Drosophila melanogaster: one gene and its partner. The protein of the gene in region 1 interacts with the protein of each later gene in a pairwise test. Each region holds a gene or a part of one and is shown in the gene's direction. Other genes may lie near its edges.

Evidence for each region. Proteins that work in one complex are often made in the same cells at the same time.
Region 2: the proteins of CG16985 (region 1) and CG43373 interact in a two-hybrid assay, tested with the Drosophila melanogaster proteins (one large-scale study listed by BioGRID).

The regions. Positions count from the first base shown.
Region 1 is NT_037436.4:2,595,299-2,601,439, forward strand, and holds CG16985 (uncharacterized protein), read left to right. Parts: upstream 1-4,021; 5' UTR 4,022-4,058; coding exon 4,059-4,082; exon of another isoform or gene 4,083-4,137; coding exon 4,138-4,203; exon of another isoform or gene 4,204-4,281; intron 4,282-4,389; coding exon 4,390-4,534; intron 4,535-4,598; coding exon 4,599-4,813; 3' UTR 4,814-4,944; downstream 4,945-6,141. Other genes in the region: CG16984 (uncharacterized protein), read left to right, coding at 572-677, 734-1,551; CG12182 (uncharacterized protein), read right to left, coding at 1,692-1,844, 1,896-3,772, 3,967-4,021; CG16986 (uncharacterized protein), read left to right, coding at 5,572-5,661, 5,723-6,064.
Region 2 is NT_037436.4:16,540,371-16,546,504, reverse strand, and holds the start of CG43373 (uncharacterized protein), read left to right. Parts: upstream 1-3,134; 5' UTR 3,135-3,340; intron 3,341-6,134. Other genes in the region: CG13033 (uncharacterized protein), read left to right, coding at 969-971, 1,206-1,838.

The DNA.
Region 1 (6,141 bases):
TTTGAATCTGTAATCTGTAACCCGTATCTGAATCTATGTCGTATTCGTATTTAAATCGTGCTTCCAACACTTCCATGTTTATTGTTAAGCTTCGGAATCAAAATGTAACCATGACAAACGATCTTAGTGCTAATTTTACAATGCAAACAATTATTTTATATACGCAAGCGAAATATTTATATACACGAATTTTATATGGTAACAAATTATTTACAATTTAATAATGTAACTCGTGTGCGACACAAGCTGTAGCTTGATTTTGTGCTTTAAAAAATATATATACAATAATACCAATTTTGTGTGTTCTCCTAAAAGATCCAGAACAAATATCGAATTCCGATTGCTAGAAAATATCTGAATATTACAATATCACCAGGAAACGATGTTGCCTTCTGTTTATTCTGGAAATCCTATAGCAACCTTTGTTTCGAGTTAAATCAATCCAAGTCAACGCAGAGGTACTTGGCAACGCAGGAGTCTCCACCAAACAGACTGTTATTATTAAACGAATAGTCAGTAAACTAGCACGCTTTCGAGTTCCCTACCTTCATCCTTACATATTTGTATTACAATGTCCCTGGTTTATATCACCCATCACGATGAGAATATTCTCGAGTGCGAGCAGGACTTTGTGAAGGCCCAAGGACCTAAGGAATCAATTTTTGTCTACAAAAATCGTAGGGATTCGTACTAAAAATCGTTACCTCCCACCTAACTTTAAGCAATTTTGCAGCTGTTGTGGAGAGGGCAGCCAAGTATGCCAAGAGACTTCGCGAACGCTTTAACGAGGAGGACAAGAAGCTATCGATTATCCTCCAGAACGATGGAACCCGCGTCCTGACAGAGGCCAAGAAATCAGCCCACCGCACCATGGGCTGTGCTCACACTCCGATTGACCCACCGTGCGCCTATTTGCGCAAGAGCCAGGGCATCAAATGGCGGCGAGAGAACACCCACAAGTGTCCCAAGATGCCGCCAATGCCCCCACTACCACCACCGGGCAGTGGCGGCAAAAAGCCGGCAATGGTACCTAACTTCATCAAACGCAACAAGATATGTGCCGGACAAACGGTTCCCTGTCCCCCGCCACCTCGTTATGTAGACACTCCCGTGGGAGCTCGTCACGATCTACTCAATTCCGGATTGGTACCGCAGTTTATCTGCCGCAAGGATTTCGGCAAGGTGCCTGTTTACCTCAAGAAAACCAAGAGGATGTTGGCCGACATGAATGCGGTGTGTGCCAAGGAACAGGCACGTTTGCTGGAGCTGTGCCGCGGTATCAAGGGTTTCACCAGGGCATCCGTCCAATCAAGTGGTCCGCCGCCAATGCCGGGTATGCGGGTGATGGAGCAGGCCGAGCGAAATGAGATCCTCGAGGGACTGCGACTGAGCCTGACCGAGATGACCAAGCAGTATCAGTCGATGTCGCTCCTTATCGACAGCATCGCCAAGCGGCAGCGCAAAAGCAAGCTGGAGTCCGATCTTCGCCAGGTGGAGCAGGACATTCTGCTAATCGAGACCACTCCCATTATCTATGTTTCCGAGTACTAACAATGACACACACACCTTTTCTGACCATGTGTGTCGGCATCTGGAAGCCGAGTGAGGTGTCTCCATGGATTCACTTGCTTTGCTCTTAGAGGCGGACACACAAAACACTTCGTAATTAAGATTGAGAATAAATTTAACGTTTATGCATTAAACATTTCCGTGGCAAAGCTTCCATGGCAAACGGGACATGTCAGATGTCTCCCCGACTCGTAGAGTTCTTGCAGATTGTCCAGCTCGAATAGGATTTGGCGGTTGCAGAGGCTGCAGTAGCGTCGCTCCAAGCTGAGGGAGATCTGTACGGATACTGTAGTCTTGTCTTAAAATGAATTCTAGTGAATTCTTACCTCCACAAAGGACACACTGCATCGATGAAGTTGCTTCTGGGGATTAGATATCACAGGTATACCTAGCATCTCGTGCAAGTGCTGAATATGGTTGCCCATTTGTTCAACGAATGTCCTTGCTGTGGATCCTAGGGCATGGTTTTCCGTGAAGTCGTCATTGAGTTTATTTATCAGTCTGTGGGCCTCCTCGAACATACATTTTATCGCCTGCTCCTGGAATGGTGATCTCTTACTTAATGACCCAATAAACTGGAGCCTCAGTCTTATGTGTGTGATATTCAGCATCGCAAGGAGCAGCTGCAGTTCATCCCGGGACTTTTGGATGTGAACTGTCAGCTGGAGGTGGCTCGATTGCAGGCGAATCACGTTTTGAAGAACATGAAATTTAATTTGCAGCTGCTGCAGCTGACCTTCAGTGGCGGTATCGGCAAATTCAATGGAATCTAATGGACAAAAGTCCATAAATTTTTGCCAATTCTCCTCGGCAAAAACGTGCAGACGTAGTCCAGCTAATAAATCGGTATAGTGATTCATGGGCTTATTGGATTCCAGATGCCTGACAAGCTGATCAAGTGGATCCTGATTCCCCACCTTGAGCACTTGCATAACCAACTGGTTCTTTTGAGATACAGTTTCATTTAGATATTCCTTGTTGCGGTAGAGTAACAGGGTCATTAAGTTCTTGTGCCTACTGGTGCACAGTCCCATCACCTGGAAATCCTGAAGGACACCCATGGCTATCGATTGCATCTGCAGGCTAAGCTGATTATTCTCGTGGATAATTTGTACGCAAGACAAACAGCTTCCAGCGGTTCCTGCAACGTAGCTACTGTTCTCCAGGCTGCAGAGAGCGGTGATCTTCATTCCGCCGACATAGATCCGAGCTTGCAGGCAGTCTGTGCTCCCCGTTCTTGGCATGCTCCAGGTCAGCAGGTGCGCCGCCTTGCAGCAGGTTATATAATAGCAATCCATTCTGGGACATTCAGTGATCACTGCCATTTGCAGACCCATGCGATCGGCTTTCTCCCACAAGGGCTTCACTAAGGCGAGAGCTGTATTTCCCTTAGCTGGCAATTGGTACAGGTGAATGAGTCCGTTGCTATCGCCCACCAGTAGAAGGTCCTTGAAAGCTTGTATATGGCAGATACGACCCATTGAGGTTTTCGTTTCTTGATGACTTAAAAGAGTTTTGACATCGGCGCTTAGTGTGAGCAACCACAAACTTCCTGCGGCTGTTCCCAGAACCAAAACATGCTGGCCAGTGGCATCTGCATCATCAGGTAACCAAGCAAACATAGTGATCCAGGCGGGATTAATATATTCTTGATAGCTCTTAAAGTCTTTTATCTTGGCGATGTCCACTTCAGGCAGCAGAGTGTCCCTCAGAGTTTCAGCGATATTTAGTCCTTCCACAGGGTTCCAACGATTGTACTCAGCGGACTTGTTTATTAGGCTCAAGGATCCATAAGTGTTGAGGGAGCCCAGGAGGAGATTTCCATTAGCTGCCAGCTTGGGTGCTCGCTTAACAGCTGTTAGTCTGGCTGGTGGCACGGCAACGGAGCACACAGCCGTGTATGCCGGGTCCAGGGCCAAGTGCTGTGCCTCCAGGACATCGCAGCTGTCGTATATGGCAACCAGATCCACTTTGTTGGCCAAAACGTCCAGAGGTCGTGTTTCCGCAGCGTTGGAATCATAAATGGCCACAAAATACGGAAAGGGATCCACGACCATGAACTTGCTGCTCAATTCCAGAGTGATCACTTCCGATTTGGAGCCGCTCAGTGCTATAAAGTCTCCATCGGAATCGCTGTTTACAAAGTCGTGTACCGAGTCCTGGCGGACGAATCCTTTGGCTAGAAGGTGAAAATCCAGATAATCTAGAACGAAATTAAACATTTATTAATTGCAATAACAAACTGCAATTATATTACAAGATATTCCAGTTACACTATTTCATTGAAGAATAGGAATTATTTGTAAGTGCGAACAGAGCGAGCACAACAAACCGCGCGAAATCGGCAATCACTATCTCAGATGTGTGGGTATATCTATTTAGCACGCATACACTCACATTTCCCGACATCTTGAACGCCATGTGAAATTTCTCCCTCAGTAACTTTCGTCATTTCGTCGTGCTCAGTTCAGGAATCCAAATCCACCGGAATGGCGGCCAAGAAACTGGGAATGGTTAGAGCACCATGTAACTTGTTGAGTAGATAACTGAAGTTCTTTCTTTTCAAAGGACTTTGTGAAGCAGATGTCCGAGTACGCCAGCGGGTCCAATGGATTCGACCGCGTCTTGAAAATGGTAAGATTCTAAACAATTTGTGCAGCCGATTTTAAAGCGACGCCGTCGAAGTCTCTCAAAAACAGCTGACTGTCATCAGTGATGGTATTACATAATTCAGCTCGCTGCAATCGATAACCGTGAAGTGCTCACCTCTCTCGTGGGATCTTCAGAGATTCAAAAATGTAAACAAATTTCAATTCGCAGATTAAAATTACAGGCGGTGGAGATGGTCGCGCAATAGGGGAGTTCACTGTGGCCAATGAGCATTTGAATCGCCAAGGAACTTTGCACGGTGGTCTTACGGCAACAATTGTTGATAATTGTACCACATATGCCCTTATGTCGAAAGGTATTTTGAAAGTTTGTTTATTACAATCTATAGAATCTACAATGAAATTTTTTTAAATTTCAAGGATCCCATCCCGGAGTTACGGCCAACCTGAATGTAAGCTACATTGCAGCAGCGAAACCTGGCGAACTTATTGAAATTGATTGTAATACCGTGCGGGCCGGTAAGAAAATGGCCTATTTGGACTGCATTCTGAGGCGTAAGTCCGATGGAAAGATCATCGCCAAGGGCGGACAGGTCAAGTACATTCAGTTCGACAAGGAAAAACTGGATTTTTAAAACAATTTTTGTAGATCGTCAGAAAACGAAATAAAATCTTTCGAACCTCTGCTTAAGACGTACTAGTTTAATTATTTATTATTTCTTAAGTTAGTTATTTCTTAATTTACAAAATAAAGATATTTAAAACTAAAATAGATGAAAGACTATAGAAATCCCAACGGATAATTTTTAAATAGGTAGGACTTTGCATATCGATTTGCCCTTTTAACTTATCGATTGGCGATTCTGCTTATCGCAAAACAGCTGTTGTTTGTTTTGAAATTGTTTTGTTAGGTGTTACGTTAGATTTTCAGATTTTTATGTAAATTTCGGGCAGTACGGGGATAGTTAGGTAGGATCCGTTAACTAAATACTAACTATTTCATAATATCGTGCTATATTATGTTTACCTTATTTTTTGATACTTGCTAATTGTTTACTTTTCATCGAAAAGCGGAAAACTGCACTCGAAGATAATGAAATCAAATATTGAAAAAATCAAAGCAATCCATTTGTTAATATACTACTGTGATTTATTTTTTAATGGATTTAGTCCCATCCAAACTTACACACGTCATACATACAATAAAGTTGGATTGTTCTATTGTAAAACAATTACTATCTGACACTTGAGATATAAGTGCACGTTACGACTACTTATCTATCTACAAAACTAAATCTAGTATATTTCTAATCGTTCCGATCGGACAAACTAATTCATTTTGTAGTTATATAGAAGCTAGCGGATCGTCTGTAAAGCAACATCAATAAATAATATGGGAACTCGCAAGAAGGGACTCGAATTCGCTAAACACATCACCGAGATTATCAACAAGTCAACGGGCTTTGAAAGTCACCTACAGAAGGTTAGATCACCATAGAGTCTCCTTACCAATATCATTATCTCATCCTTATATTCCATTAAAGGTCAAGATCGTAGACGGTGGCGATGGAGCCTGCACTGCTGAGCTAAAGGTGGACCAGGATCATGTGAACTTGTACAAGTTTTTGCACGGCGGTTATATCATGACCCTGGTGGACTTGATAACCACCTACGCCCTAATGTCCAAGCCATGTCATCCCGGAGTTTCGGTAGATCTTAGTGTAAACTTTCTAAACGGCGCCAAACTGGGCGACGATGTGGTGATTCAGGCCAATCTGTCCAAGGTGGGCAAGTACCTTGCCTTCATCGATTGCACCCTGAAGCACAAGAAGGACGACTTGGTGATAGCCAAGGGCACACATCTAAAGTATATCAAATTTGACTAGACTAGATAGTCTCAAATTGGGAGCTACTTCGTTTTGAAAAATATTTTCGAAGCGCCCCAAGTAAGTTTCATAATTTG
Region 2 (6,134 bases), about 14 Mb from region 1:
TTCGATTGGTTTATGACATTTGATTGAATATATTCTTGTGGCTTTCCCTCTTCTCGTGCGGCTTTCATTCATGCATTTCCTTTGTGGATGATTCAGTTTCATTTTCATTTTGTCTATGTTTTCGATTTCGAATTGGAGTTTCGTTTTCAATTTCATCTTAAGCCGGCTTCAAACGTTGAAGAGCCCTCGGTGTTTTGAACCCACATCCATTTTACAGCACCGGTCAAGTGCGATAAGTCGGTTAATTGCTGTTGAATGATGCAGCAACAAATTACATCGATCCGCTGTAATCCGCGTGACTTCCCCGACACAATTCTGATCGAAGAGATACATACAATATATTCAGCTATATGTATGTACAGCACCGTCATCGTCGACCTGCAGTTGGTGTAATTGTTACAATGGCCCAAAACACTTGACATTGGCCCTTTGCGAGGGCGACATTGAAACCACGCTTCGAAGGCCCTCCCCCGAAAACATTAAGAAATGAATAAATATGGGAAAAATGATATTTGTAGAATGGCGGAAGGGAATGAGGTATGGAATGGTATGGTCTAAGGTAATCTCTAACGATAATATTGACAGATTCTTCGGCAATCAAATAGTGCAGAGCAAATGGGCAAACACATAATAATAATAATAATAATCTCCGAACGCCAATCTTCAGCTCTTTAACGATCAATGACCATTGTCAGGGCCCAAAACGTCGAACATATCCGGCTGGGAGTGTCGAACACGTCTGAAGACGTCTTAACTTGGCCAACGGCGTTTCGTCAAATATGTGTTAATGCGGTTCGATTGCGTTCGATTGACCATCGAACTTCTTTCGGCCGCCCTGCTAATTTTTTGTATAAATACTTAAAACGATTTCAACAGCAGCAGCAAAACGCAACCACAGCTCCAATCGATTGAGCAGGTCAGATCCAGATCGCAGAGCAAGTGAAGCAAACATTTAAGTTACAACAAAGATGGTAAGACATAGTGCAGAATTAACATTTAATAAAACACAGTTAACTCTTTGAAGAAAGATACACATTCTGAAATGAAAAACTTTTTTCTTATCTAAATTTTAATAACTTTTCATTCATTTTAACAGACGAAATTCTATTGTATAAAAAACTGAAGACATTTTATTGTTAAATTTATTTTTTCTTTTTATTTAATGAAAGTTGATATTGTTCATGTGGCCTTTCCTTTGTTTCCAGCAAGGATTCAAGGAGATTTGCCTGCTGTTGGCCGTCGTGAGCCTGGCCAGCTGTCGTTCAGTGGTTCGCCGTGATGTTAGCCACCTGCCGCTGGAGTATCTGCCTCCAGTGGAGCTGCCACCTGTGCCCAGTCGCGATTACTTGCCGCCGGTGGAGCAGCATGCCGCCACCCTGAACCATGTCCTTCAGCCGCCCCGTGATTACCTGCCTCCGCTGAACAACGAGTACTTGCCACCTGTGGTGGAGGAGGAGCAGAAGCAAGAGGTGCCCACCACAACCGAGGTAATAATTCCAGAAGAAACCACCACAGCGGAGCCAACCACCGAGGCAGTTATCATCACCACCGAACAGCCGCAGGAAGCGGAGATAATCACGGAACCGCAAGAGGAGGTGGAAGTGAAAACCGTGGAGGAGGAGGAGCCCGAGAAGGAGGTGGAGTCCGCAGTGCTCCTGGACGACGGATACCACTATCGTACTCCATCTGTGGTTCCGAATCTGCTGCCCGTGAAGGAGTATCTGCCTCCCTTGGACGGCAATGCCGTTGTGGAGGAGCTGCCCAATGGCGAGGAGGACTCCTCGGCCCTCCTGGACGATGGATACCATTATCGCTCCGTGAAGCGACTCCGTTTCTAGTCCGTAACACTTACTGTATATTCCACTACGAATTTCTGTTTCTGTTCTGTGCGACAATTGTTGTTTAATTTTACAAAATACATAGACAAATACTTTCCCGACTCTGTTGGTTTCACACGATATTGGAAAGTGGCTCAAGTGATCAGGTGATGCGACTATAAAGTACCCAGTACTTAGTGTCGTATTAGTCAAAAGAGAGCAAAATGTAACATTTTTTATTAGCATGTTTAGAAATCCTTGGTAAACAATATTAATTACTCACTGTGCTCATGCATGTGGAATTACTTCAGAGTTTCACGTCATTCCTCTAACTAATATACCCATTTAACCCTACTCATACCTCGCAGCAACTCGATTGCTGCCGTGAACATTTCATTTATATTGATGACAGGAAATTAGAAAAATGTTTTCACAATGCGCACGGAACGTCGCAAGGAACTCTTCTGCGTGAGATATTGTCGCAGTCCTGCGAGGTCCTTGCTGCGTGAGTCCTTTGGGCCTGCCACACCTCCCTGACCACCACCACTCCCAATTGATTTGCGGCGGATTGTGCCCGGGTTTTATTGTTTTCTTTACGTGTTTGCCGCTTGGCATACATTTCCATTAACCAATCTTGAGGAAAGTTTTCCTGTTACTGCGTTTTCCTTACTTTTCCACGGACAACTTTGAGTCAGTTCAATAATTCAGCAAATTTCCAATTGGCCGTATAAATATTTGAAAAGTTTTAAATGTTATTCTTGTTTTGGCGGCCTGTTTGTGCTGTGCCCAAATATATATGGGATTTTTATGTTTCCGGCGGTTAGCCGTTGTCGATTTTACTAATGAATAATTCAGTACGAGGAACAGGAAAATTGTTTGCCTACTTTTACGCGCAGTTGGAATAAAATTGAGAAGCAACAAGTGTCAGAAATTTTGTGGATTCTTTGCACATTCGTTGTTTTCCTTGAGATATCAAAAACAAATAAAAATCCAAACCAAAAAGCTTTAAGTGCATTGCACTCTACCGAATTTTTCTTTTCATTCCTTCCTCATTTTCCGTATCTTTTTTTGGTGGTCATAAACCTCAACAAATCGGGGCCAAAACAAACACCTGTAAACAGTATCCGATTGAAAGAATCGCCCAAGTTTCGTTGAGTGTTGAAGGCGGGAAAAGCTTGCGGAAAATGCGAGAAAAGCCTGCCGAAGCTTTGGCCATTCAACATTCGACGAAGCGACGACTGGGAAAATCGTATATAAGCCGTCTGCCGAGGAAAATTCAACTTAGTTGCGGGTTTATTGTTGCCGAATGTAAACGGAACGGAATCTGAAGAACCGGAAAATGCGGCCCGGCTGAAGACAGTGAGTGCGAGCGAGCGAGATACAAATATTCGGCCGAGCAACAGTGAAAAGCGTTTGAAGGGCCATAGATACAAGATAATGCCCCATAGAGGAGTCCATCTCCTCTCCGCCAACCGATATGTGAAAATCGGCCAGTGGAGCCGAAAGTGAAAGTGTGTGGAGAGGTGAGGGAACGGTGCATCAAAAGAGTGATAATGGATAAAACAACTTCAGATACTTGTAGTACTATCGAGTTTATGAGACAAGTCGAAAACGAAATCGTTAACAGGCTAACACAGAATTTAAGTACAGAGTTCTTTGAATTGAAGGTGGTCTTTAAACTTTAAACTTTATTTTATTTGTGTGATGTAAAAGCGTGAACACATTTTTGTAAACACTTTTTAAGAAAACTTATAAATTTCATGTTTAAAAGATCTTCCCAAAAAAGAAGTGCAACGAGCAAAGAAAAGCGTATGCAACAGTATACAATTACAGTCTATACAAAACATATAAATTTAAGAATGCATTGTTTTTAAAAACAATTAAACAAGAAACTATAAACCAATAAATAATCCCTTTCATGCATAAAAAAATATATATAGACTTAAAAAAAAAAACCAGCGCAGTGGATTTGAAATGTAATGTAACAGAAGCATGAAAAAAGCAAAATTAAATTGCGCGATAATAAAATCGGCAAACCAAACTAATTTGTAAACATAACAAGTATTACAAGAATCTTTAAGATAAATAAGATGGAAAATTCACAATGAGCCCAAAAAATGTGACGCCACAAATCATTTGCACACATAAATCAAAATTACCATAAACGAAACGAAATACCCACTGTGAATAAAGATGAACTCGAGGAGCCGCAACAACTCGAATAAATCGAAATTAAATATTAATTAAGGCCGCATTAAAATTGCAAAATAAATTGAATAACCGAAATAGCTGCAAACCGAATGGCTTGTGAAGAAGAATGTGGCCAAAAGAAAACACATTTTACACACTTAATTTAATCACAAAACTCTTTACGCTGCTCTCTCATTCGCAATTAAAATGCAATTAATTTGGCAACAAATGCTGCTGCTGTGTTAAAGCAGTTAAAGCCATGTTTGTGCGAAGTTGGTAAAGTCAGTCGGTCGGCAGTTTTGAAATGTAATATTCAATTAATTCCATCCGATCGGCAACTTAATACTACAGCTAGTTGGCTTAGCAGCTTCATTCAATTCGTCTTTCGCACGAAATGCATTTTCCCTTGATTTTCCAGCGCTGCAAAAGGGCTGCTCTTGTTTCTGTGTTGTATATCTCGTATTTGTTGTTCGCCTCCGTGGGCCTCAGCAGAGAAAAGTTTATTAATAAACAGTTTTGCCTAACAAAGCAAAAAAATGATAAAATAAACGCGACGCAGACAGGCGGTTTAGGGTGGTAAAAAGGGAAAACTGTGGGTGGGTGGTTTGGGTGCTAAATGTCATTGTCAACGGTTTTTCATAGATTGGAAAGGTAGTTTATGGGAGTAACTTTTTCTGCATTAAGCGCTTCTTATGGAATTCAAAACACAAAGTTCACAAAAGGATGATTCAATTTTAAATTCCATCAAGTCCAAGAAATGGAAATCATTAGTGAAGGTTTTGAAACCTTAAAGTTAAAGTTTTTAAATAATATAATATTGTATATATGCCTACTTTTAGTTTTATGATTAATTTATGAAAACACTTGTTGTCGAAGTAAGAAATTTTCCGGTTTAAAACTGGAATTCTTACTTAATTTCCATGTATTTATTTAGTTGCTATAGATAATGAAGAAATCCAACATGTTTGCTAACGAGAAAATAGGAATTCAGCAAGTTTTAATTGGTTGTAAATAATATAATATAAAATTCTATATTCCATTGTTATGAAATTCGATTACTGCATTGCTGCCAAGAGTATTCAAGAGTATGTATTCTCTGTGTGTCGGCATGCATTTCTGTGCCTGTGGCCGTGTGTTTGGCACGCTTTTTGTGTTTATTAATAACAAAGTAATCAGAAATTGTAATCTCCTCGCAAAGCGTATTACAGCAGTAATAACAATGGCAAGACCACAACCACAACATAACCCCACCGCCCCATTTCAATCGCAATACCAACTCAACCCCCCGCACCGCACCACCAATCCCATTCATTTGGTGATTTCAATGCGGGTTTATCTTTGCCGCTTGGCTGTCTTTACGGGCTGCATCCTTGAGTCCTGGGATCCTTGATTCATTGTTGTGCCGCCAACCAGCCAGCGAGCGAGCGAGCACGCTTCCGGCTCAAGTATCTCTGTTTTTGTTATGATTTCCCCGCATTGTATGTATATATTTTCATATACTTTATATAGATTTGCTGTTTATTTCTGTTTTCATTATTTTCTAATTTGACGCTTCATTTGTCCATGACTGATTTCTATGTTTTTTTTTTTACCCTAACAGACGGGTATTTTCTCATCGCATGCTGCAGAAAAACTGTGATGAGGAATTATATTAAAAGCTGAGACAATGCTTTTAGTTCATGTGAAACCTAATCAGTTAATATTCTCATTTGTATGTCCAAACTAATAACTAACTTTAGTTAAATATTTTATGTTTGTCAAAAAACGCAAATGTTTAGAAGGGTGTTATTTTGGTTTGCTAACGAAAAGCTTAATATACTTCTCGTTGTTTTTCCGTTTTATTTTTTTTTTCGTTCGTCCTGTTTTCTAATTTGACTTTTGCCGGGCGCTGATTTTCGCTTTGATTTTCGCCGACTGATTGGGATTTAGTTGATGGGGGCAGGGGATTCAGTGGATTGGGGGGGGGGAGTCATTTGATATTGGGCCATATTCTATTGATGACTGAATGGCGTGTCTTTTTGCCTCTCAATCATTCTGTTCGGCTCGGATTTGTTATTTGTACTCTTGCCTTTTTATGTAATTTCACCTATGTCAGTCAGTCAGTTGGCTCGCTCTTCCCAACTGCAA